2 linked regions of the Daphnia pulex genome follow. The protein of the gene in region 1 interacts with the protein of each later gene in a pairwise test. Links are inferred from orthologs where the notes say so. Each region holds a gene or a part of one and is shown on either strand. Other genes may lie near its edges. The genes, in order: segmentation protein cap'n'collar-like and transcription factor MafK-like.

Region 1 (12,919 bases):
ATTTGTTGGCGGACCCCGGTGGCCGAGTGGATAACGCATCACTGCAGGATGAAAAAGTGCCACCATTCGTATCATCATCGTCAGGCGGAATGGGATCTAATCCTTCAGTACGTATAGCTTCTATTTAATTTAATCTCTTTTATATCGACTTTATCCGAAAATTTTTACATAATTTAGATTGAAAAAAAATTATTTCGGTTATTTCACGTGAGAAATGTTTATAGATTAACTAAATAATAAAGTTGGCAGGCACCGTAAAAGGTAAAACAAATAAATCAAAGCGCTTTTCTTTCTCAACTTTGTCATCCCTTTTTGTATCTTATTAGTGGAGCAATAATAGAAACATTGGTCGATATTATTGATTTTTAAATTGTATCCCATACCATATATATCTGATAGTCTGAAAGACCTTATTACAAATAATACATATTCTGTAACGATGCATGTACATACTACATTATAAGGGTAATCACGCAAATTAAGGAAATTGGGGACTTACTCTTTCTTCATTTTCCTCGCGTGATTTCTCTATTGAGACTGGTGATACGTGATCATTGATATATTTGATATTAACACTAACTGAAACTGACTAATGAGTAATGACACCGTCGAGATTCTTTATCTTTATTTTGAATTAGCCGCTTGTCTCAACGCTGTGTGGACTTTCCGCGCATTTTTTTCGATTGCTGTCTGCTGTCGTACAGAAAGCGTGAGCCCACCGTGAGGAAGTTCCTTAAGACCGATAATTTAGTCTATCGAAGATTTTATTTTGGTATTCTATACGTGTGGCCAGTTTATTCTTGTAAATCAGAAGGGCCCAGCCCATTGAGCAGTTTGCCGGCTGAAATTTTGTCATTTTAGAGTTGGAAACCTTTTCTATTTGCTCAAAATGGTACGTTGTTTAACTCGATTGGAACACATTACATTTGCCGGCCTACTAACTAATGTTAAATCATGTACTTTTGCTTATTTAGGCTGTTTTAGGAGTTCAATTGATAGTCACTTTGCTCACCATCAGCATCATGCAAAAAGTGACTCAACGATTTTCATTTGGGAAATGGATCCTGTGCAAAACAGGGTAAAACAAACTTTAAGGTTCACATAGAATTTAAAAATTACAGGAATGTATTTTTTTTTCAGGCTGGTGTACTACCTCCACCCTACCGATGCAGAGTTGAGAAAGTTAGCAGGACTTCCGCAGCCCAAACCAAAGCCAAAGCCTAAAGAAGGAGACAATAAACGAGGGAAGCACAAAAGAAAGTGGGCAGAGGAACCTGTAGAAGATAAGACATTTACAGTTCCCAGAAATTTGGATTTACAGGTAAGGTTATTTTCAATAAGATTCTAAATTTGTATTAAATTTGTATTATCTTCTATTTGTGCTCTCAGCTTGAAACTGCCAAAATATTTCCTAAAGATGTTTTACAACTCAAGTTTTTCACTGAATTTGTTTGGTTGGTTGACTACAGTGTATTCGTCCTAGTTGTCTATCTTATAACAGAGGTAAGTTAGATTTTTTTTCAATTATTTTCTTCAAAAGTTTATACAATTGTTCCACATCAGGTCTACTGTGGGGTGTTTCCTAAGGGTAATCAAGAAGTTAACCTTAGTATGCTGTGGTGCCTTCTACTTATTGGATTTGCCTTGTAATTATTCTTAGCTGCAAAAAGATGTGAACTGCAGATGATAATTTTTTGTTATGATTTATTCCACAGAAAATCGCTTTGCAGTGTCACTAGTCTTTACTTCTGGAACACCGAAGCTGCTGCTGAGAGGTCATTGGTTCTTGTCGGTGGATCGTTTTGCTTCGTCCTTGCCTTAGGATTGCTATTGATTGACGAATCTAACCTGGAGATCGGATTGGATGCTGCATATTCCTCTTTCAATAAAAGTGCATCCGTTTTCTTAGAACGCCAATCGATGGATTCAGAGTATAACGTCTCATATTCGATAAATTTTAAATCGTCGTCTTAAATTATTGATCTATTACAGAGGTCCTGCTTCCAAGTTGATTCTGAAACTCTGCTTTGCTGTGTGGTGCGGAATTACGGGTGCTCTATTTATATTTCCTGGTTTGCGAGTGAGTCGCATGCATCTAGATGCTTTACGGTAAGCTTAAAACAAGTTGAAACATAAAATCTGAAATTGAAATGTTGTTCTCTTCTCTGCAGTTATTGTAGCGAAAGAAAAGTGTTAAAAATGTTCATGTACATCAATCTGGTATCGCCGTTCCTGCTTTCCCTTCTTTGGGTTCGCCCTTTGGCGAGGCATTATTTCTCCGTCCGAATCTTCGGTAACATGGAAGCCCCACTGTAAGAATAATAGAGTTTTATCTGGTTACAAATATGATAAATTTACCTATTTTTTTTTTAATTTTTGTTAGCATGAATGATGCAACATTCGACAGCATGCGTCTTTGGTTGTGTGTAGTTTTCAGCATCGTTCGGATCGTTTCCGCACCATCTTGCTTCCAGGCTTATCTCAACTTAGCCCAAGAGAAGATTGAAAACATGAAAAAAGAGGCTGGTCGAATTTCGAATGTTGACCTTCAGAGAAAGGTTGACAATAGTTCATTTTTAATGCTGGAAAAAATGTTTAATTTCATTTTTTTTTGCAGATTGCTATTATTTTCTACTATCTTTGTGTGGTTGGATTGCAATTCGTTGCACCGGTTATCCTTTGTGTCGGTTTTACGTTGATGAACAAAACTTTGGGTAACTACTTTTGTCTAGTTCCATTAATTTTATCACTGTCACTAATGGTTTTATCGATTAAACATTATGTAGGAGGCTACGGTTGGTTTGGTCAACATCATTATAACCCAGACGAGTGCGATCCACAGCAGGAACCAAAAGCAACTCTCTCAACTCTTTTGCCAAATGACGAGACCACTTTGGTTGACGCCAGAGAACAGTGGCTTGCGGCCCTCAGCACATTTCACCAGGTTTGTAATCCAGATTATTTATTGATGATTTTAAAAATTATAATTACAAATTTTTGAATTGATTGCCAGATATTTTCGTACGAAGTATTTCGTGGCATTTTCGGGTTTGCCAACTGGTGGATGCAATTTTTGTCTTTCTTCACAATTGGCTGTGGTCTCGCCTACCAGTCCTATTTTTTTGATGGAGTAGTGTGAAACCGAGACGAACATGTCTAATGGACGAACAGTGCCGTGCATCACAATTTTGGCGGCGTGCAGATACTTGCAATTCAAAGTAGTCCCGTGTCTTCTGCTGTCGGATGGATGCAAATACAGCACAAGTAGTCAATCTCCGTAGGAAACCCCTGTGGTTCATTGTGTGTGAATTGCGTGCGTGTGTGAGTGAGCGTTTACTTCTACATTTTGAAACAACAGATCTCATTCGAGTTCGGCCTGGATGATGACGATTAAGGATCTGTGAACAAATCCCTTATTTGCCTACCCTGTTAAACTATTTATGAATAAATAGTTAATTTATTTGATAAGCAAATTCATTCAATTCTAATTGTCACACTTTTTTTTCGAAGCTTTTATTAACATTGCAATTTTGAGCCTTCTATTCTAAGGTTACAACGATTTCTTTAATTCACAAAGGACTGGTGGCGAAGTACTCGGCTAGATCGACGTCCTTTACACCACCAAAGTAATCGAGAAGGCAGATTTTACTGATAACTAATTTCCCGAACCACCAACCGTGATCTGAAATTGCAAACCAGGTGAGTAACTTTGCAATTCAAATCATTATTTAAATATTAAGAACCTTTTGGCCAGTCTTTCATTTCCGGATGTCGAGAGAATAACGCTTTTCGTGCAAAGCTCTTTTCGCTGGGATCGGTGACCTAAAAATCAATTCGATCAATGTTTCGATCAATTTTTAAATGCACTTTAATGGCTTCAAGTCATTACGTACGCGAACGAGTTTCCCCGTCAGAATAATGTGAGCACAAAGAGGATCTTCCGGGTCGTACTGGTGTTTTTTGCAGAAATGAGTTTGAGCTAAACTCATTGTGATTGTCGTCCTTGAGTCTTCCTGCGTATTAGTTAAACCGCGTAAAGCGTACTGGCACAACGTCATGTTAGATACTAAGAAATGATGCTTACTTTTAAATCCTGAACAGATATTTCCATGTCCGTCAAGTAAAAATAAGGGACCCCTTTTGAAATGTGGACTGGTCCATCGCTTACCGAGAAAATATTAGCAAACGGATAGCCTGCGATGGGAGCGTGGGTCGAAATGGTGGCAAGTGCGGTCCAGTCTTAAATGGTCACAACTTTATAGTAGCTAGATTGTTTTAAATCATTATTTAATTTACCACTCTTGTGTACGATATAGCGAGCCATTTTGGCCACTAGCTCGTGTGGAGGAGGTTCCGATTTAACGACGGTTAGATTATTTTCTCTTTTTATTTCGTAGGGCATGTTGACATATGTTATGTGGTTGCGGTTGTTCAGCGCAAAGTCTCCCGGTTCGATCCATTCAGCCAGAACAAACATCAAAGCGAAGAATTTCCAGCTGCGTTCCATGGTTACGGTTTAACGCTAGAACTACACCCAAAGGACATTTTTTTAATGAGCACGACACACTTTGCCGTTTTCTTTACGCTAAGCGTTAAAAATGTTAAAGGAAACTCTACCTGGCGGTTACTAAACAATTCGGTTTAATCTTTTCGAAACACGCTTTCAGGATTTGTGAATATCAATTGCAGCCTTATCCGGATAGGAAAAGTAAACAAGACTCCAGTCGTATAATCAATGCAGACCTGAAAATTTTTATGATATGTGTCCGATACGGTACGGACGAGGGCCTATATTAAAACATACACTTGGAACGTGATCAGAAATTCAAGGGGATGTCGCTAGTGTCAGATCAAGTTTGATTCAGCCCTACCTTCGTCCAGTTTTATCTCAAGGCTTTCCACTATGTATGTGTATCATGCCCTAGTAACGGAGACCATCTTAAAACCGAGCAAGCGTTGCCAGTTCGATTGGTGCGAGTCTTATCACAGGGTCCAGCTCAGCACGTCCAGCTCTTGCTTCTAATGTTGATTTTGTGAGCTTGTTGATAAACATGTCCGGTTGGAAGAAGATTTTGTAAATTAATACCTGACTGGATACAAAAAAAAAACAAGCAGAGTTCGTTGATAATTCTGAATTGATAACCCATAGACTTGAAATCGCCAGCAAATCGAGCATTAGCGACACTGCCCAACGGGTGAATCGGGCGCCAAGTGTACTATACGAAGTCCTAAGGACTTTAGGCGCCGCCTACTTTTTCTACTCGCCGTCACGATTGTCGACACTGTCTAGGCATTCTAGTTTCGAGTCCCGAGGAATACGATTCACGCTTGAGGCATCGTGTGGTTGGTCGTCACCGAGGTGAAAAATCAAAACAAACAGTTTTCTAACGTGAAACAGTTTAAGTTAAACCGAAAAATGGTGGATGTGGATCTTCCCTTGATGTTGAGTTTATCTCCTGAACCAGATTCGCCAGTGCATATTGCCAACTCTGCGAAATCCACAAATAAAGGCAGTATATTTAACGAGGTTAGTTTTCCTTCCTTTCTCCAATTTCTCTTCGTTGCTACGCCAGCCTATTTGTGATATTTTTGCCGGGCTTTTGTAAACAATATGATAAGATATGACTTTATCAGGGCCAAAGTCTAAATTTTGGAAATTTTCAAGGATTTTTTGCATTCTTAGCAACATCAGATCATGTTGTTTTGTATCAGGTGCATGCTGATATATATTGTCGTGTTAAAATGTACAGAGGAAAATGTGTGATGTTGTTTGGCAATGCTGTATTTACGTCTGGATTTTACGTCATCAAACCGGAAAAATTCAGACATCAATCGACATTAAATTTTAAGGAAGGTACAAAGTTTGACTGAAAGTCACCTTGCATATCCCGTGACTTATAACACTGATAAATGCCTGTCCAAATTGAGTGGTTATAAACTTACACTGTACGTAAGATACGAGATATGTTCGTCGGAGTGTTGCATCATTCTTGTTAGTTTATTGTTGGCTCCCTAGGTGTCACTGATCCAGCGTGAGAGCTGAGTCACTTTGCCCCTTTACAAAGAGGATAGACTTGTAAATTTTCACGCCGCTGTCGTAGCAGCAGCAGCAGCAGCATCTTCCTTTCAAAACAAACTATCAAGATTGCAACATACAAACAAAATGTTGGTGAACGTGTTTGATGAATACTGTTTTTAGTGATGTTTCCCTCGACATAGGGAACCTGAATCCCCACTCCCAAGAACTACGTCGTTGCGACGTACTGTGCACAAAGTTAATCTGAACGCCGAGACAAAGCAATAAACGCCAAAATGTTGGCTTACGTCAAAAAGATTCATAGACACTCGGATGAACTTCTTCATCTAGCTCTGATACTCAGTTTGATTAGAGTAGATCCTGAATCTTATCTTGGATTGGGTCTGGGACGGTCCAATTCCATTCGGGGAAGTTTCCACAATGTTACAATGGGAGACACTTGGGCTCATGCCCCATCGGATTTCCATCATGGATTCATGAGCAACTTGCCAGATATACCCTACTTACATCCTAAGAGCATGGAAGCTTCTTTAACTCAATATCAAGAAGAGCTCATTGAAGATTTAAATGATCTTGGGAGATACACAAGCATCTTACCCCCACGAAGCCCAAGAACAATTACCGCTTACCTGCTGGATGACAGCTCACTCAACCGTGACTCAAATTTGCCTAATGTAAACACAGTGAGCCCTGTTGTTGCTTCTTCTAGCAGTTCATTGATAGCTGCCACTGTAAGTTCACAATCCCATCATGATGAACTACTGGATTCCATACAACCACAATCACCTCCAGAATCTTCTATTCAAGATGACGCTTCTGTACTATCTCTGGAGGTAAAGCCATTGACAATCAAGATAAAAATCCATTAAATACTCAGAGTCTGCCAAGTGAATTGCTCCCCCTCCTACCACCTGGAGTGTAAGCAGGTCTGTTCTGTTGTACAAAGAGTGAAAAGGGTAATGGTGCTATGCTGTTGTCGTGGCAGCAGGTCCAAAATGGGTGATGAATGCAATTGAAAGCTAAGCATGAATTTGCTAAAAAGAAAAAAAAAATACGATGATGACGTGCGATGCAGTCCACAAATGGCATGTCATGCTGCTGCCGATTTCTTGTTTGTCATCAGGAGAACACGTTGGATACAATTTTTGTCTTGGCGACCTCTTGTAGACCCAGTCTCAGGATCTCCCAAATCTCCCAACACTCAACAGTCTGTTAGAAACATTCTGCCTGTTCTGTTGTCGATTGACCTCGCAAAATTTCATCGGACGCATGATTTTCCTGGATTTCTCTATGTCGTAGTGTTGTGATTTATATAACGGATACTGAAATTTAGTTTTTGTTCGATTGATTTTTCAAGGAAACCCTGTTTTGACTTATGTAACACAATTTGTATCCATGTCACAGGATGCGGACCTGATAGAAATTTTATGGAAGCAAGACATCGACATTGGAGTCCCCCGTGATCATTTTCTCTTTCCGGAAGATCAAGAATCCAGCAGCGAGGATGTCGACACAGCAACGTTGAAGGACAAGTTGGATTTGAAGGTAGAGAAACTACAGTTTTTCCTATTTGAAAAAAGAAAAAAAAATGGTCGGCACTGCAATGTGAAGGCTGTGTCATAAAGAGATATTACATGTTAGAGGAAGGCCGACAAAAGTGCTGGCTGTGAACTGCATGGAAGCTTCATCGTCTAATGAGCAGCAATAAATAATGGGTTGTACAAACTTTCTTTATCTGACATGCAGGGCGAACAAAAGGAGAAGACCAAAAATGGCGAAAATAAGAACGACGAGGACCCTCCGGACAAATCTCCTTCAGATGACGATCCCTGGGCCGGCTTATCATATCGAATTGATGATGAAACAGGTGAGTGAAAAATTGCATAACAAATTGCTGGTTAGGTCGTGTGGGTTTTTTTATTTTTGCGTTTTCTAAGGAAAACGTTAAAAGGATTGCGTCACTAGACTAACATGATGCGTAAATTCTTATTGGTGAGTCTCAAATAGTTAGCGAGTTTCTACTGAGTTCAGGAAATGTGATCTGATCCTGCGTTGGATCCTTTGAACCCATGGTAACATCGCAACAGGTTGTCGCATTTCTTAACTACGCTGCATCCATCTGTATATGGATTCATAGAGTGTCAAGTCTGCGCTGCGCAGATTTCAAAAACCAAATCAGAAATGTCGTCACATAAATGTGGTTGGTGGATAAATAGTACAAGTGACCTCGGACTTCCTTATGACACTTCTCGAAGGTTCTGTGAATTTTCGGAATTTTGGTCAGTGGCACCATCTAGCGAAGGAAAAGCATACTCGTTTCTTGCTTTACTACTAGGTGGCGCTGACCGTTTCCAGAACTTGGCAAAAGTTCCGTTTTTTACGCACATTGAACAGTATGGTTCAAGAAAAATCTTTTCTTATATAAGTGTTACATAATTGATGCTTATATATTAACTTTATTTAATTATTCAAGCTTTTAAAGATCTTTTCTTATTCCGCATTTGTTACAACCAAGCTGAATTTATTCAGGCAGTTTTTTCTTTGGGTTATGCGGTGATGATATTATTTCAGACGTAATTCCACGAAACAATTTTTTTTTTTCTGAAAATCTACAAATGACATTCAGCGCCAAATAGTCAACAGTTTTGCACCACAAAAAATTCCGGCTAAGCGCTTTGCGGTACATTCTGATCGCTTCATACTTTGTATCGCCATCCACATCGTATAGAATGCCAGAACAGTTGCTTTTCAACATCAGTAACAAAAGGGAAAAAGAGAGAAAAGTCTGGCGTATGTGGGCCGCCGTGAAAGAGAAAGAAAAGAGGAGAGGAGAAGAAGAGAGAAAAAGAAAAAAAAAGAAGGAGATGGCTCCGCCGATGAATGCTATATCCCACATGACAGGCAAAGATCATTAGTCATTACTCAGAGTTCGACGCCCCGCTAACTCGGACTTGTCGACCAGAGGGGGGATATATATTATATTTATATGTGATATTATATACATATTTTTCTCGATGTATCTACGCAAGGCCAGGTATTTCCAAAAACATTTTTTTTTTTCATGTTACAAACGTCATTTCAAAGTAAATATCCGTGGGATGGGAGGAATTCGATTTCCAGCCAACAAGTTACGCGATCTTAACATCCGCCAAAAAGAGATGCGGATGTGTCCCTACAGAGTTGGTTGGGTTCATTTGATTCCGGAAATTCATTCCTGCTCGCGTTCCAGTTTCGTATTTGGATATGCCAGTTGTCTCCTCGGACCGTGGCGTGTTGAATAGACTCTGGTTTGACTTTTGAATGCTTTTCGTATCATTGTGATTACGTTTCGAATGGGGTTTTATAGCCTTGATGCTGTGATAATGGAATGGAAAGCCTATTAGGAGAGGAACTAGCCAGGAAGAGCAGATGCCCGTCCATTCTGTGAGACTTCTCCCTCCCTACCTTTTTTTTTGCCATAGTCAGACGAAGAAAGAAGAAAAATAAGGAGAAAAAACCTCCCGCTGATGTCTTGTGCTGTTGCACCCGCAATCATTAATCATAAAAACCTGGCTCCCTTCACTAAAAAGGTGAAGCCGAGCAACAACAGCGGGATTACATTCGACTCCGCGTCCGTTCGGCATTTCCATCTCCTTCATTTTTCTTCCGCACTCCGAAAAGACCGAGTCTCTCTCTCTCTCTCTTTGATCTTTTTTCCCCTTTATGATTGCATTCCCCTTGTGGAAGCGCAACCATTTTTGAATTAAAGTAGCGGAAGGCGTTACTTCGCTGCATTCTACCGACTCTGTCGTTGGGATCCTTGTGTCACATCAAGGATAAATCACATTCGAAGGTTACGCTTCACATTTAGCACTACGCATTTGTGTTCAAAGTTAAGTCGACCGAAATTCCAGAATTCAATCGTTTATGGTTCGTAGGCCGTTTTTCTTTTATAAATATCACTTTTTTTCCTCCCTTCGTTTGCGTTGTTGTTTTTGTGTTTACCCCCACAATGACCATCGGAGAAATTATCGGTGCGTAAATGATCCTGTTCAGCGGGGGATGACCCCTCTCCGAAGTGAAAAGTTGGATGTCCTGCTTATAAAGATACTCTCCAAATCGTTAAGCGCGGCGAGAATTGAGGCCCGGGCGCGATCATTAACTCAGCGCTGCTGCATGGACCTTATGACCCGTGGCCAGCAAAATGGACAGAGAAACAAAACAAGCGGGGTAGAAAAAGGAAGAAGAAAGTACCGAAAAGACTAGTTTGTTATGAACCTTCTCACCGTCTCAGGTGCCTGCGAATTCATTAAAATGTTAAGAAAGAGTTCCATCGGCGGTCGGAGACAAAAGGAGTCCGAAAAAAAAGTCTTTGAAGACCGCAGCAGTATCAGTGAGGTCCGTAAAATTCATTTTTCCAACGTGATGAATAGTTTGTTCAGTATTGACTTTTTTCCAAACCTTTGGGCTTTTTATTTTTGGTTTAGAAATGGAAGGATAATAGACTCATTGTTTCTATGTGCGTGTAGGCGCGTGTAGGTCTTGTGCACCGAGAGTAAAATAAGCTCTGCCGGAGCTTCAGTTTTTCAAACAGTGTCGGAATCTGATCTATTTTTGCCCCCCTCGAGCCGCGGGTCGAAACGGCATTTTCTAGCTGACGGATAATAAAGTGAGGCCAAAGAAAAAGATGTCTTGTACAAGTAAATTTTCGGCGATCGAAATCGCACAGCAGCGAGCGCGTCGTCGCGTCTTTGCTCCGACCCCCCGATGTCAAAGGGGCCCAGCAGCGTTGGAGGGAGGTCTTTGGAGAAAGCCCCCCCGAACAATTCCTCCCGATGCAATGCAACACACGACTTGCATGAAAAATTAGTGTGAGATGGCGCTGATTGGGAAAAAGAGAGAGAAAACTGTTTGTCGTTTCTTTTTCTTCTCCCTCTTTGTCCTAAGAGATAGACACAGAGAGAGATTCCGTCACGGCGTTTAGGTTATAGAGCTCCAACCTGGCGCACTGCTCCACCCAGCGGGATGGAATGCAAAACTTGCATCGTATATCGGAGTTTCTTCTTTTTTCTCTTATTTCTATTATGTTACCGGGCTACGGGATTTTCTACTCTTCCGTGAAGCCAGCACACGTTCCGTCTCTCTCTCTCAGTTCTTTTTTTTTTCTTTTGTAACTTGAATATCCAATTTGAACCGTCTCTCTTTTTTTTTCTCTGACGGGACGGCGGGACAGACCATCACGTTTTCTTTTTTCTTTTCGGGGGTGCCTTCGTATCTTTTTTCTTCATCCATTCTCTCCGATGTGCTTGTGTTAGGTGAATTCAAACTCACACTGCCAGAGGCTGCCAGCTAGCCTTTTTCCTGGCTTCGTGTTCTTTCTCTCTCCCCTTCTCTGGTTACGTGTGCTAGGGGGAATTTTTTTTTCATTCGGCATGTGTGTGTCTATTCACTATACACGCGTGTATATAACTGTGCATGATACCAAAAGAAGGATGGTAGGTCCGTCCGTTTCATTGGCCGATCCACGCCATTGGTTGGTTGCGTTAGAGAACCACCCGCCGGTCGCTTATTATGTACCATGCTGTTCCCTCGATCTCTCTTTCCTTCAACCTTTTTTTTTTCTATCCTGCATGAATATTATTACATCGGAAAAGTCTCGAAGGAAACAGATAAAAAAGAATTCCAACGAATCATTTGTTATAACCCTCTTTTTCTCTCTCTCTCACCGATCAGCTTGCGCGATTCCTTATTTTACGCACTCCAGGACTTTTTCTTCCTGATCACGACTTTTCATATTCTAGTTGTAAAATTAAAAGTAAAAAAAACTAGAAACTAACCGAAACGACGCAGTGTACATCGCATCCACATACATTATGTATAGTGTGAAACTTGTTGGATAGATAGATATGCGCATTTTATCGATAACGCGGAAACTGGCAGGGAAGCTGGGACGGTCACTCGTTTCATCGTCAGATTGAATCGACCATTTTCCTGGAAAATTTTAAGTCGGTAGTGTTCAAGGGTCAGGTTACAGTGGAATAGATTTGGTTTGATTCTCTTCACGCTTTAGATCGTCTACGCTAATCGAGGCTGTGAGATTTAAAAAAATAATGTTAGAGCTTCTAATTGTGAATGTGTTTGACATGCAGTTTGGAGCTCTGTTTCACTGGATTGCATTTAATTTTCTCTTGTTCTATTTGGATGTTGTTTTTTCTATCTTTTTAAAAATAAAGAGAAAGAGACTGACAGATAGAAAGGTAAAGAAATAACAAGAAAACTCTTTTGTCCGATTTTATCTTCACGTAGTAGCAGCTTGGTAGGTAGTCGGGAGAGGTGGGTTAGACAATAGTCTTTGATGAAGGGGTCCTTCGCCCCCTTTTTTCAGCGTAAAGAAAACGAGAAAAACATTCTAGCATTTTTATTTTGAAATTTCATTCGTGCGCTTGTTGTACCAATAACTCCATTCTTGCCCGTTGGAAACAACCTCAATCCGTGTATATTTGTGGATCAAATTCGCATGAAAAACATTGGAGAGGAGAAGAATCGCAGGAAGATTTCTTCGTAGGGAAAACCAGGTTGGATGTTGTTATAACAGTTGGAAGCTTTTCTTGAAGAACTAGTTGTTTGGGGTCCGTTGTCGTCATCGAAATAATGGTCGGCGTGAGCGAATCCACTGGCTCATTGAGTCATTTTCTACCCAAAAGTCACGTACTGTTAGGAAACGAAGCGCAATGGAGAAAAAAGAGAAGCCCAAGAAAGAAAGAAAAAACACACAAACACACAGAGTCGGGATTATGTTTTATTTCCATGTTATCCGATGGTTGTTTGATCGGCAATGTATGCGGGTCTTTCCTCTTCTTCTTCTTCTCCTCTTTCGTGTCCTCCTCCCTCTACCCTTCTGCT
Region 2 (11,453 bases), on another chromosome or scaffold:
CAAAGTAATGCTTAGGTTCCTCGGTGTAGTAAACTGGAGTAGCATACGTCCTTGTGTAATATTCAGCCTTTTCGGTGTAGTCATTGGAAGTCCCGGTGTAGTAACAGGTCGTCACCTATGTTGTTGTGTAGTAAGACAACAGCGTTGCGGCTTGGTATCCGCCATACCCAGGGAACATCGGTACACCAGTGGTCGACTCAGCCAGCAACGATACAACATTCAACAGCAGCACAAAGCCCTTTAAGTAGACAATGAAAATATCAACATCAATATTCAATTAGAACTGGCACACAAACAAATAGGAAAAATTTGAATAGTCACAAAACACTAGTTGAACAAAATGATATTTACCTATAATTGAGAATTGGAAGAGTGCAGCTGCAACTGTTGCCGGATCGGAGATGCTCACTCAACTGATCTATCACCTTCCTTCTCTACTTTTAGGTTTTGGGTCTGAATCCTGGCCCATCAGCTAAATACAACACCCAGCAGCAGCAGAACAACACTATAGTAAAATAGACGGTAAACAATTTGACATTAATTTTAAATAACAGGCATATTAACAATTAAAACAAATGTGAAATGATTCACAAATCTATGTAAAACAACAAACAGAATATTTACCAAATAATTTCAAACTGGTATTACGACGAAGAATGCAGTTGGTAACAAACAATGAACTGTAGCTGTTGCCGTGTCGGAGATACTCACTCGACTGATCTCTATCGCCTCTTCTCTCTCCTTTTATACCACTTTTTCTCACTCTAACTCAACTCTTAAGCCTTGCGGCTGTTGTACCTCCTTGATAATTATGAAACACGCCCCGTTTTTACCCAACCCTTCACCACTACATGACACGTTTTACGTAATGATCTCCTCGACCTCCGAATGTGAAAGCCATGCAAACTGCCTTTTCCTTCTGCAGGTTGACGTTGCTGGGGATTGGAATAGGTCTACATACAACAAGTCAACAACCAATATCAAATGAACACCAAATGGTTTGTCTTAAATCTCACTTTATAAACAGCAATTGACATTAGAGAAATGAAAATGATAAAATAATGACTTAACATGTAAAAACTCATAGTCCTTACACAAGGTCATGTGCTAGTGAAGAGTCAACAACGCTTCATGGATTATACTATTCAAGAGAATTCTTGCAGAAAATAAACTTAAGTTTGGCAGCCCATTAACCACACACATTCCAACACAAAACCCCGCATGTTGAAATGCCTTGTTATGAAGAATTCCCTTGAAATAAGTCCAAAGCACTTTTTTCCTAAGCCAAAATATTGTCTCTACCCCTCTCTACATCAAACACGCACATAAAATTATTCAAATATTTCAGACATTAAGTGTGTAGACACGAGAGATTTAAAGCAACACCCGTTGGACCCATATCTGTTTCCATTTCTGGCTTCACCCTATACCAACTAAAACAAAATGCTGGAGGTCTGAAACCGATAGAGAATAAAAGAAACACACACTTACTGCTTGCAGCAACTGAAGGATAACTATAATTCAGGACGTCGGTGTAGTAGCTCTGGACATCATAAGTTGTGGTGTAGTTCCCTGGAGCCTTGATGGTGTAATAACCGGCTGAAGCGTATGCTGTTGTTGTGTAGTAGGGCGCCGGCATTGCGGTTTGGTGTCCGTGCCCAAAAGACATTGGCAAACTAGTGGTCGACCCAGCCATCAACGATACAACATCCGACAGCAGCACGACATCATAGTTGACTGAACAATTAAAAATATTAATATTAATATTCAATAACCGGCATATTAATAAATAGAACAAAGAAGGATTGATAAATTACCCATAACTGCGAACTGGTTAAACGATGAACAATCCAGTGGCGTAGGAAAGTTGGTGTTGGAAACATCGGTACACCAATGGTCGACCCAGCCATCAACGATACAACACCCGACAGCAGCACGACGCCATAGTTAAATAGACAAATTTAAACATTAATATTCAATAGCAACTTAATCAACTCATTAATAGTCAATAGTAGACTTAGTAATACAAAACACTATGTAGAGAAACTGAATGTTTACCAATTGTTGCGAGCTGGTAATGCGATGAAGAAGCCAGTTGGTACAGGCAGTCCACAGGAGTTGTTGCCGTGTCGGTGATGCTCACCCAACTGATGTCTGTATCCTTTTCTCTCTCCTTTTATACGAATTTTTTTCTCACCCTCACCTCTTAAGCCTTGCGGGTATTGTACCTGCTTGATAAAGATGCAACAGATCCCTTTCTCACCCAACCTCTACACCACACGACACGTTTTACGTAATGATTTTCGTGACCTTCGAAGCAAACTGGCCTATCCTTCTGCAGGTTGACGTCGCTGATGAGGATGGGTCTACAAAAAAAAAAAATCAAAATGAATACCAAATGGTTAAGTAACAAAACATTTCTCGTTCTCTCCCAACCTCTACAGCACTGCATAACACGTTTAATAACTTAAACATCAATGTGACCTTCGAGCGCAAACGAAGGACATGCAAACTGGTACTTCCTTTTGCTGGTTGGTGTTGCTGGGAATTGGAATGGGTAGACAATAGGTCAACAACCAATATCAAAAGGAATATCATGGGTATAGCTTAAAACTCGGTTTGTAAATAGCATTTGATATTGGAGAAATAAGATGAGAATGATGGAAAAAATAGCTTAACATGTAAAAACTATAAAGGCCTCCATACGGTCAGATACTAGTTAGTCAACATTGCTTCATTGATTTTTCTATTCCAATGAATTCTTGCAGAAGATAAGCTTCAGTTAAGCAGCCCATGAACCGCACAAATTTAACTATACCAACAAATTCCAACACGAAACCCCACATGACTAAATGTCTTGTTGAGAAGAACTTCACTTAAAATAATTTAAACGAAATTTTTTTCTTAAGAAGCCAAAATGTTGTCCCTACCCTCTCTACTTGAAGCACTTATACACAATTCAACAAAAATTCCAGACATTGAGTGTGTAGAGGACACAAGAGGATTAAAACAACACCCATTAAGCCTGTATCTTTTTCCATGCCAAGTAAAACAATCAAATGCTGTAGGTCTGAAACCTATAAAGAATAAAACACACACTTACTGCTTGCAGCAACTGAAGGATAAGATGTCTATAATCTACAATTCACGGCATCGGTGTAGTGGCTCTGGAAATCACAAGCTGTGATGGTATTCCCTGGAACCTTGGTGGTGTAATAACTGGCTGAAGCGTATATTGTTGTCATGTAGTACACCAGTGGTCGACCCAGCCATCAACGATACAACACCAAACAGCAGCACGACGCCATAGTTAAATAGACAAATTATATATTTAAACATTAGCATCAAATAGCAACTGACACATTAACCCATAGTCAATAGTAGACTTAATAATACAAAACTATGTAGAGAAACGGAATGTTTACCAAATGTTGCGAGCTGGTAATGTGATGAAGAAGCCAGTTGGTACAGGCAGTCCACAGGAGTTGTTGCCGTGTCGGTGATGCTCACCCAACTGATGTCTGTATCCTTTTCTCTCTCCTTTTATACAAATTTTTTTCTCACCCTCACCTTCTAAGCCTTGCGGGTATTGTACCTGCTTGATAATGAAACACGTCCCTTTCTCACCCAACCTCTACACCACATGACGCGTTTTACGTAATGATCTCCGTGACCTCCGAAAGTGAAAACTGGCCTTTCCTTCTGCAGGTTGATGTTGCTGGGGATGGGTATACAATATCAATATCAAAATAAATACCAAATGATTATGTAACACTTCCCGTTCTCACCCCACCTCAACATCACTCCATGACACGTTTTACGGAAATTCAGTATGAAAAACAAATTAACTTGAAAATTCTTTTGTTCACTAATTCGTATTCATCATGACAACGATCACGTGCATGAACCATCAAGAGCTATCAGAAACAGTCATGTGTAATCTAAGGATAAAAAAGTTAATCACTATTAGTATTGTATTTAATTTTATCAAATTTGACGAGGAATTCTTTTATTAAGTTCTTTTTGGCGTCAAGTGAATATTTACAAGCTGCTTATTAACGAATTTTGAAACCGAAAGTAGATGAAAAAAGCAATCATCAAAAATTTAACAAATGTGTTTTGATGGTGAAATGTCGTAAGGTACCACCCCAAAAGTTAGCTCTCAATTACTGCCGATAAATATTTACATGGACTTGCAAAGTAACTAAAAACTACGTAATTAGACTGCTGAAAATTATCAAAGACAAAAGCTGAAAATAAAGCCACGAAAGTTAGGAAAAGAATATGTGTAAGAAACACTTCATTCAATGAACAAGGGTCTCATTGAGGGATCATAACACAGAAACAGAGTTTAAAGCTAATAGGTTACTGGTAAATAATGAAAACTTTTTCAGATACCTGGGCATTTCACCATGAGAGTAACAGCGGACTGAAGTGGTCTAACTTGTCAGTGGAGTAATAAGACAAGTTTTATGTAGCAACATAAAACGCATAGAAGCTAGATGAGCGCGAAGATTGAAGGGAAGATAAGGACGGAGCAGAACTTTGGTCTATTGTTGGTGTCGTTGCGTATGTTGTTGCTTCGTAGCAATACCGCCATACTCAGGAGACATCGGTACACCAGTGGCCAACCCAGCCGTCAACGACACAACACCCAAAATCACACGACGCCATAGTTACCTAGACAATGAAAAATTCTAACATTAATTTTCAGTTACAACTAGCACTTAACACATACAAAAACATATTGATTAAAAACTTTACATAAAAAAAAAGAAAAACGAATATTTACCCATGATTACGGATTGGAAGAATGCAGTTGATGACAAATACACGCAACAGTTGTTGCCATGGAGATGCTAACTTGACTCATCTCTTTCGAGTCTGACAGCTGACACCAGAATTGATTAACAATTGACTGACACTGACACTGAGAACTGAGAGACACTGAGAACTGAGAACTGACACAGGAATTGAGAACAATTGTCTTCTTCGTCCATTTCCCCCTTTCCTCATCGGCGATTCAGCGTTGCCAACGCCGCTTAAAAAGTGCTGTATTAGACAGCAATCGGTATAACTAGCGCCACCTATAAACTGCTTTCTGTCCGCTAGATGGTAGGGTGTGCTGTCATGGAGACATACTTCTTGGTGTCGTATCTCTATATCTCTGGTTTGTTGTGGTTGAGTTATTGAAACTCTTTCGGAATCAACGTAGGCTATGTAATTTGGCCTACAACAGTGAAAAACATTTCGGTTTTCTTAGAATTTGATCATGAATAGTGGTGTAAATGAATCTGAAGATTCTGCTGGAGAACTCCGAAGAATGGGAGAGTATGCCGATCAGCTAAGAAGCTGGTTGGGACAAGCATATCAATGGCAAACATTACAATGTCTCCCTTATTCAATGCCTTCAGTTTTCATGCAAAGTAGACATCGTCCTTTGTCCAATAGTACACCAGTTTCGGCTAGAACTGAAACGCCAGTGACAAATGTCAATCACCAACAAAGGCCATCTACTAGAATTGGTTCAGTTCCGGCAACACCTCCCATAGAAGGTATTTGATTTTCTTAATAAGCAAAAAATTTTTGTTAGCGAGATTCATGCTTAGTATTTAAAACAATATTTTTTATTTATTAGGAAGAGTTTTTGAAGTCCCAAAACTTTCAAAGCGCTTATTGGCTGAAGTGATTGATTTTGGTTTACTGTTTTTCATCAAAGCCTTTGTGACATTAACAGTTCTAGATGCTTGGAATATGGAGTAGGTCACAATTTTATTTTTATTAATCAGTATGGATTATGTAATACAAACAATAAAATTTAATCTCCAGAGATTCAGGTTTTTTCCAAACTGAAGAAAAAGAAATAACAGAGGAAGCTGATTATGAAATGGCCATGGCAATTACTGCCAATTTGTTAACTATTGAACTGATTCACCGCTTGCTAGTAGTTCTGTATGAAGTTTGTTTTACCCTTCAAGGTGGCACTCCAGGAAAACGAACAATGGGACTCAGTATAATTTCCTGCACAAAGTGTATCCCAGTTGGTATGTATACATCTTCATTACTACACCTGCTAAAATGTATACATTATATTTGTTTACAGGAGAAAATCGAGTGCTCGTGCAACCTGCAACGAAAGTCACATTTTGGAGATCTCTAGGTCGAGCATTCCTGAAGAATATGGGCACAGCCATTCTGTTTCCCACTTTCCTCCCATTAATGGTTGTTCAACATAATCGTACTCTATACGATATATTGTGTGGAACAGTTGTCGTTGAAAGCGAATAAATGTCAAAAGAACCTACCACATATGGCGCATTGTTTATCCCGATTAAAGCTGAAATGGTCTACTCTTGAAGTCTGAATCGATGTGCGTGATGGACACTTCATCTCCGCCTCGCATTACAACTTTAATTTTCTGTATCTTAGTGTTTTATGTCGACCAAAATTATTCCCCCAGTTGTTTCTATGTTATTACAAACTTTAACTAACATTTAATTGTTTCATTATTACATAGACTGTCACTTTCGGTAGGTCCGCAAGTTTTAGTAAGTTTTCCACAAGATTACAAATACACTGTATAGATATTTTGTATAAAGCTACTAATAAAGCGCACGTTTTGTTTTAAGGTGAAAACTGAAAAGTAGAGGAACTAGGGAATAAAATCGGTTTTCTCCTTCATTTTTCAATGTTTTTCAATTATTTTTTTTTTCCAAGAATTGTTTTCCCTACCGCTACGTGGTTCTAGTTGCGGTGTAACTATACATATATTCTGGTTTAACCGGCCTTCTCTTTATATAAGGCCTTGTCAAAATAAGCGAAACATGGCTGGAATAGAAAAACATCGCGATAGAGAATGACTCAGCGCGTTTTCTACCTGCGATGAAATTTTTCTTTCACGTCTACCTCGTAGAACTCCCACTTTTCGCCTTAGAAAAACGAAAATTTTAAATAAAATGAAAAAAGGTGACAAGAAAGATAGAAATGCTAATGCCAACAAATTTGATCTGGTGAGTGATGAAATCCAAAATGTTTGTTGTTGTTTTACTACTTTTAAATGCAAAACTAATGTGAGGTAACTTTTAGGAACCTTTGTCTCCATCCCCTTGTCTGGGTATTTCTGATGATGAGTTAGTATCCATATCTGTTCGAGACTTGAATAGACAACTCAAACTTAGAGGTTTGACAAGAGAAGAGGTAACAGAAACTTCAGTCTGACACATTGCATATTTTTAACAAGACTGTTCTACAGATAGTTAGGATGAAGCAACGCCGTAGAACCTTAAAGAACAGAGGTTACGCTGCTAGGTATATTGTTACATCACACTGTGTTTGATGTTGGGTATTTCCTATAAAATAAAAATAGCTAACAAGTGTTTGTTTTTTAGCTGTCGCATCAAGAGGATAGAGCAAAAGGACGAACTGGAGCAGGAGAAGGTTGGTGAACTTTCAGAAACAGAGAAGCTGGCAGAAGATAATGGCAAGATCCGTGAAGAGATTGAAGCCCTTCATCGCAAATATGAAGCCCTCCAGAAATTTGCCCTTCAAAAGAAAATTCCTTTGCCTTCAGAAATGGATCCACTGCACTAATGTTTATCTATTTCAACTACCTCCGTCTGACTACATCTTACATTTCTAAATCTAATTTCATGAATGTTTCAAAAACGAAAGGGCTTGAAGGGGCTTGAATGGTTCTGTTTGCGAGAAAGAAATACATCATGTACTTACCACGTAGTTCGTTGTTTCGACGTATAGATGTCTTTCTTCTCGTTCTCGACTGCTTTTTCGTGTCTGGAGGGTATGTAATAACCAAGGTTCGAAAAAGTTCCCAGTCACGCACGATGGCCCACAGGTTCGTTCTGCCGCCACGAGACACAGATAGCGTCTTCACTGCAGTTGCCGCTGTTGAAGGTTAAAATGTCAAAGCCAAAGGGAAATTTGGCCGAGTTTGTCGCGACTAACGAACCTCCCAGACAAGAAATGCTCAAAAAATTAGTTTCCAACGTTATTTGACAACACTATTTCTAATCCAGATAAATGTTGTAGCTTATAAAGTGACGGAATTGGGAGAGTTTGAAAACTACAATCCATCTCAACACTTACCGAGAGTTCAGAAACACCCGCTGCAGCAGCAGTCTCCTTTCTTCAATAAGAAAAAAACCTGTTTGACGGGGTCATAAAAAAACTGGAACATAAAGAAAAACCATGAAATATGACATTAGTAAGCTGCAGTTCGTCGAGATATGAATTCGGTCGTATTGAAACTTTGAAAGAGCCGATGCAAACGGAAGTCGAAGTATTGTTACTCTGATCATCCGCTCCCGCGCGTTTTTCCCCTCTCTCTCTTAAACTCCCTGCGCGAAATAGGGCGTTTTCGTGCGTGCATGAAAGACGGCAGCCGTCCGATAAAAATTCACGCGGCTTAAAAAATAACAACAAAAAAGAGAGCCATGACGCTGAGTAAAAGAAAAACGGGTTAAAAATAATGAAAGGGTCCCCCCTTCTCTCCCCCCAATCCACCTCTTTTGCAAAAGGCCCTGGGCGGAGTTTGTTGCGCGGGGCTAGATAAACAACCATTTCTTGCCATTGGTTCAATTCGTTGGAGGGCGGAGTCACTGGGCTCGACTCTTCTCTTGCATTCGACTCGCGTTCAACCATTCTGTTGAGAGACGCGGACGAGTAAACTACGTTCGTTTGTGCTGTTTTTTTTTTCGTAGTGACGCTCAGTCGAAATTGTTGGTGCCAGGCACAATTTTCATCAAAACAACACTTTTGATTGTGAAAACAAAGTTGACATTGCAGAAATCTGTCAGTTCGATATCGGTTTAGTGTTGTCGTGTGTTGAAAGCGAAGAAAATATCTAAAAATTCACCGAATTTCCACCTTTTGGAAAACGTTGGATCACTGTTTGCTAATAGTGACGCCGCCTGGAAAGTTCCGCGACGGCACCGTCGCAGTTCTATCTTTTTTTTTGCGGCGTAGTTCATCCTGCTGAACTGACTATCTTAGGCCCCCGTGTTGACGCTAGTCTTTATTAGCTGACCACAATTCCGACGGCTTTTACCGGGTAAGAAAAACTCTTGAAATTTTAGAAGCTCCTAGTCTTGTCAAGTGGAAGTTTGATTTTTCTTCCAAAGATCAAAGGCACGTTTTGAAGTTGATTTTTCGCCAACTGATGATATTACGTAGAAAGCACGTTGATTGGCCTGTGTCCCATGGGCATTTATGTTTGCTGCAACTGTACGTTTACCTTGAATGACGCAATGGCTCAAGACATTTACTATTGTTAGGCCAATCCCTTCGTGTCTACTAACTTTTTACGTAGGTGGTTTTTCTGCTTGCAATTACCATAAACAAACTCAATAACACGATGATAAGACAGGCTGCAGCATATGAATATAATTTTCAGTTGAGATGCATTTTCCCATCTGCTGATGACCTCTTTCCCGGCGTTTTCTCTTTTAATATTTTAAACATCTTTTTTTATTTATATTTTGGAACAATTTTCAACCGCCACCCCCTCACTGTGATCGAATTTCCCGCTTGCTTCGCGTTCCAGCTTGTAGGTTGAGTCCGATCCGATTTCACTCAAAACCTTTCCCGTGTGTTTAGCCGTAATATTCTCTTGATTGTCGCGCCGAGAGTCTTCACATCAGTTGCCCGGGAGAGATATCGTTATCAGTTGCTGCTGTGTCGGCTGATGTTTCTAGTAGTCGTCACCCACAGTCACGAGGTCAAATTAACTTTTTTATTTTGCGCCGTTATTTATTATTATTTAAAATAAAATAAAAAGAGAACTTCTAGCGTTGTGTGGCTATTGATCTCCTAGGATTGGTTGTAGCAAAGGATCGATGTGAACGCTGACGTGGGCTGATTTAGATGTGATGGACGTTCGAATATCTTAGGCAATCGATCAATAACCTAATTTGTCGTTTCTTTTGTATTTTTAGCGTTGGGTGCAATGGGCAACGTCCGTGACTTGTTCGTGAAACAATCGTAAGACATCTTGGCGAAGGAAAAATAATCATGGATCCGGAATCGGGCAAAGTCGGGCAGTTGCAGCAGGCTGCGATGCTAGTCGTTGCTGGATCGACACGTCTTAACACATCTCCAATGATTCCCGGAATGAAAACGGAATTTCCAGGACCTCCACCCGTCTACGATGGGCACGGTTTCGGTCCGCCCGTCGTCCTGGATCTGTCTCCCCGTGGTGTCGACCACCACCCTTCATCCATCCAGTCACCTTACACTCCTGGTAAACAGACACACAGTGCATGTCCAGTCGAATTCAGTAGACATTCATTTCAATAATAGTCTTCGCGGAATACGATGGGGGCGGCTTGTCGGGACATGAAACAGACACAAAAAGAGAGAGGACGGTCCTGTCAGTTGTCACCAATACCCCTGTGGTGGTGGTGGTGGTCAAGTCGCGCAACAAGGTCAAAGTTCACTTGAAGGACCTTTTTCTATCCATGACGGATAACTTTTTTACGACTTTATGTATAGGCCTATTTGTGTTTTAGCGTTCTTCCTATTCTTTTCTACTAGCCAATGGTTATTATTAGTGCACCACATAACTTTTTTTTGAGAGCCATGTCATTTACTTGACTGTTTTTCTCTGTACCACCCCTCGAGGGATAACGTCAGTAGGGTTGAATTTCGACAGACATTACGGAGAAAAATAGAAATTAAAAAGAGAAAAAAAAACGATGGTAATACAAGAGCTCTGGGAAATGTTGGCAGTTGGACAGATTCACTTTGGTGATCAGAACTATCTAATCCTGTAAAAAGAAGGAGGAAATTTTCCATTCCGAAACAAAGTGAAGGAAGGTTCAATTAGATTCCCGCTCTTTTTCTTTGAAATGCACCTTTCTCAAGTCGACCTGTGTGTTAAAAAAGTTTCGAGGGTTGGAGTGACTCCTCCCTTTTTCTTACCTGTTAATCTTTCAGCCCCCCCCTGAGGGAGTGGGGGTTGTGAATGTACATATACAACAAGAGAGAAATGTGTTTTAACTTTTATATACGACAATAACCTGGGGATACCTTTCGAAGCTTGGGTGTGTGGCCTTGGGAAGAGAGTCTGCTGGACTAGTATGATTGTGTGTTAGCCCCCTTGTTAGCCACCCGAAAATAGAAAAAATTTTGGCCGTTGTTTGACAATCATGTTGTTGACTTGGAGCTATTTCCGCAATCATTTGCGTCTTTAAACATCCGACCAAGTTTTCTGGGAACTGACGTTTGTTGTTATTGCATTTGGCCTGCGTTGCCAATGTGACTTCCTTTTATTACAGTGACGGTGGACGGAGAGTGTGGCGGAGAGATGGAGACGCGGATCAAACGTGAAGTCAAGACGGAATCGCCGGATTCCGACGGCGGTGATGAGGACGAGAGTAGAGACGACGACGACCAAGTGGATAGCGGCACACAAGAAGAAGAAGAAGAAGAGATGGGGG

The links.
Region 2: the proteins of segmentation protein cap'n'collar-like (region 1) and transcription factor MafK-like interact in a two-hybrid assay, tested with the Drosophila melanogaster proteins (3 studies listed by BioGRID, with this or other methods). The link is inferred for Daphnia pulex from reciprocal best matches to the Drosophila melanogaster genes cnc and maf-S.

What each region holds. Positions count from the first base shown.
Region 1 is NC_060024.1:12,564,334-12,577,252, reverse strand, and holds the start of segmentation protein cap'n'collar-like, read left to right. Parts: upstream 1-5,599; 5' UTR 5,600-6,312; coding exon 6,313-6,870; intron 6,871-7,441; coding exon 7,442-7,582; intron 7,583-7,783; coding exon 7,784-7,904; intron 7,905-12,919. Other genes in the region: transmembrane protein 161B-like, read left to right, coding at 890-892, 975-1,078, 1,141-1,321, 1,390-1,503, 1,564-1,646, 1,716-1,931, 1,993-2,109, 2,172-2,312 and 4 more; protein CREG1-like, read right to left, coding at 3,570-3,682, 3,744-3,822, 3,894-4,013, 4,085-4,239, 4,297-4,507. UniProt on the Drosophila melanogaster protein: Plays a role in posterior cephalic patterning. Probable subunit of a heterodimeric regulatory protein involved in the control of head morphogenesis.
Region 2 is NC_060022.1:2,780,559-2,792,011, reverse strand, and holds transcription factor MafK-like, read left to right. Parts: upstream 1-6,799; 5' UTR 6,800-6,956; coding exon 6,957-7,010; intron 7,011-7,086; coding exon 7,087-7,197; intron 7,198-7,252; coding exon 7,253-7,308; intron 7,309-7,388; coding exon 7,389-7,590; 3' UTR 7,591-7,734; downstream 7,735-11,453. Other genes in the region: protein FAM8A1-like, read left to right, coding at 5,273-5,555, 5,639-5,759, 5,830-6,044, 6,104-6,288; protein winged eye-like, read left to right, coding at 10,027-10,255, 11,292-11,453.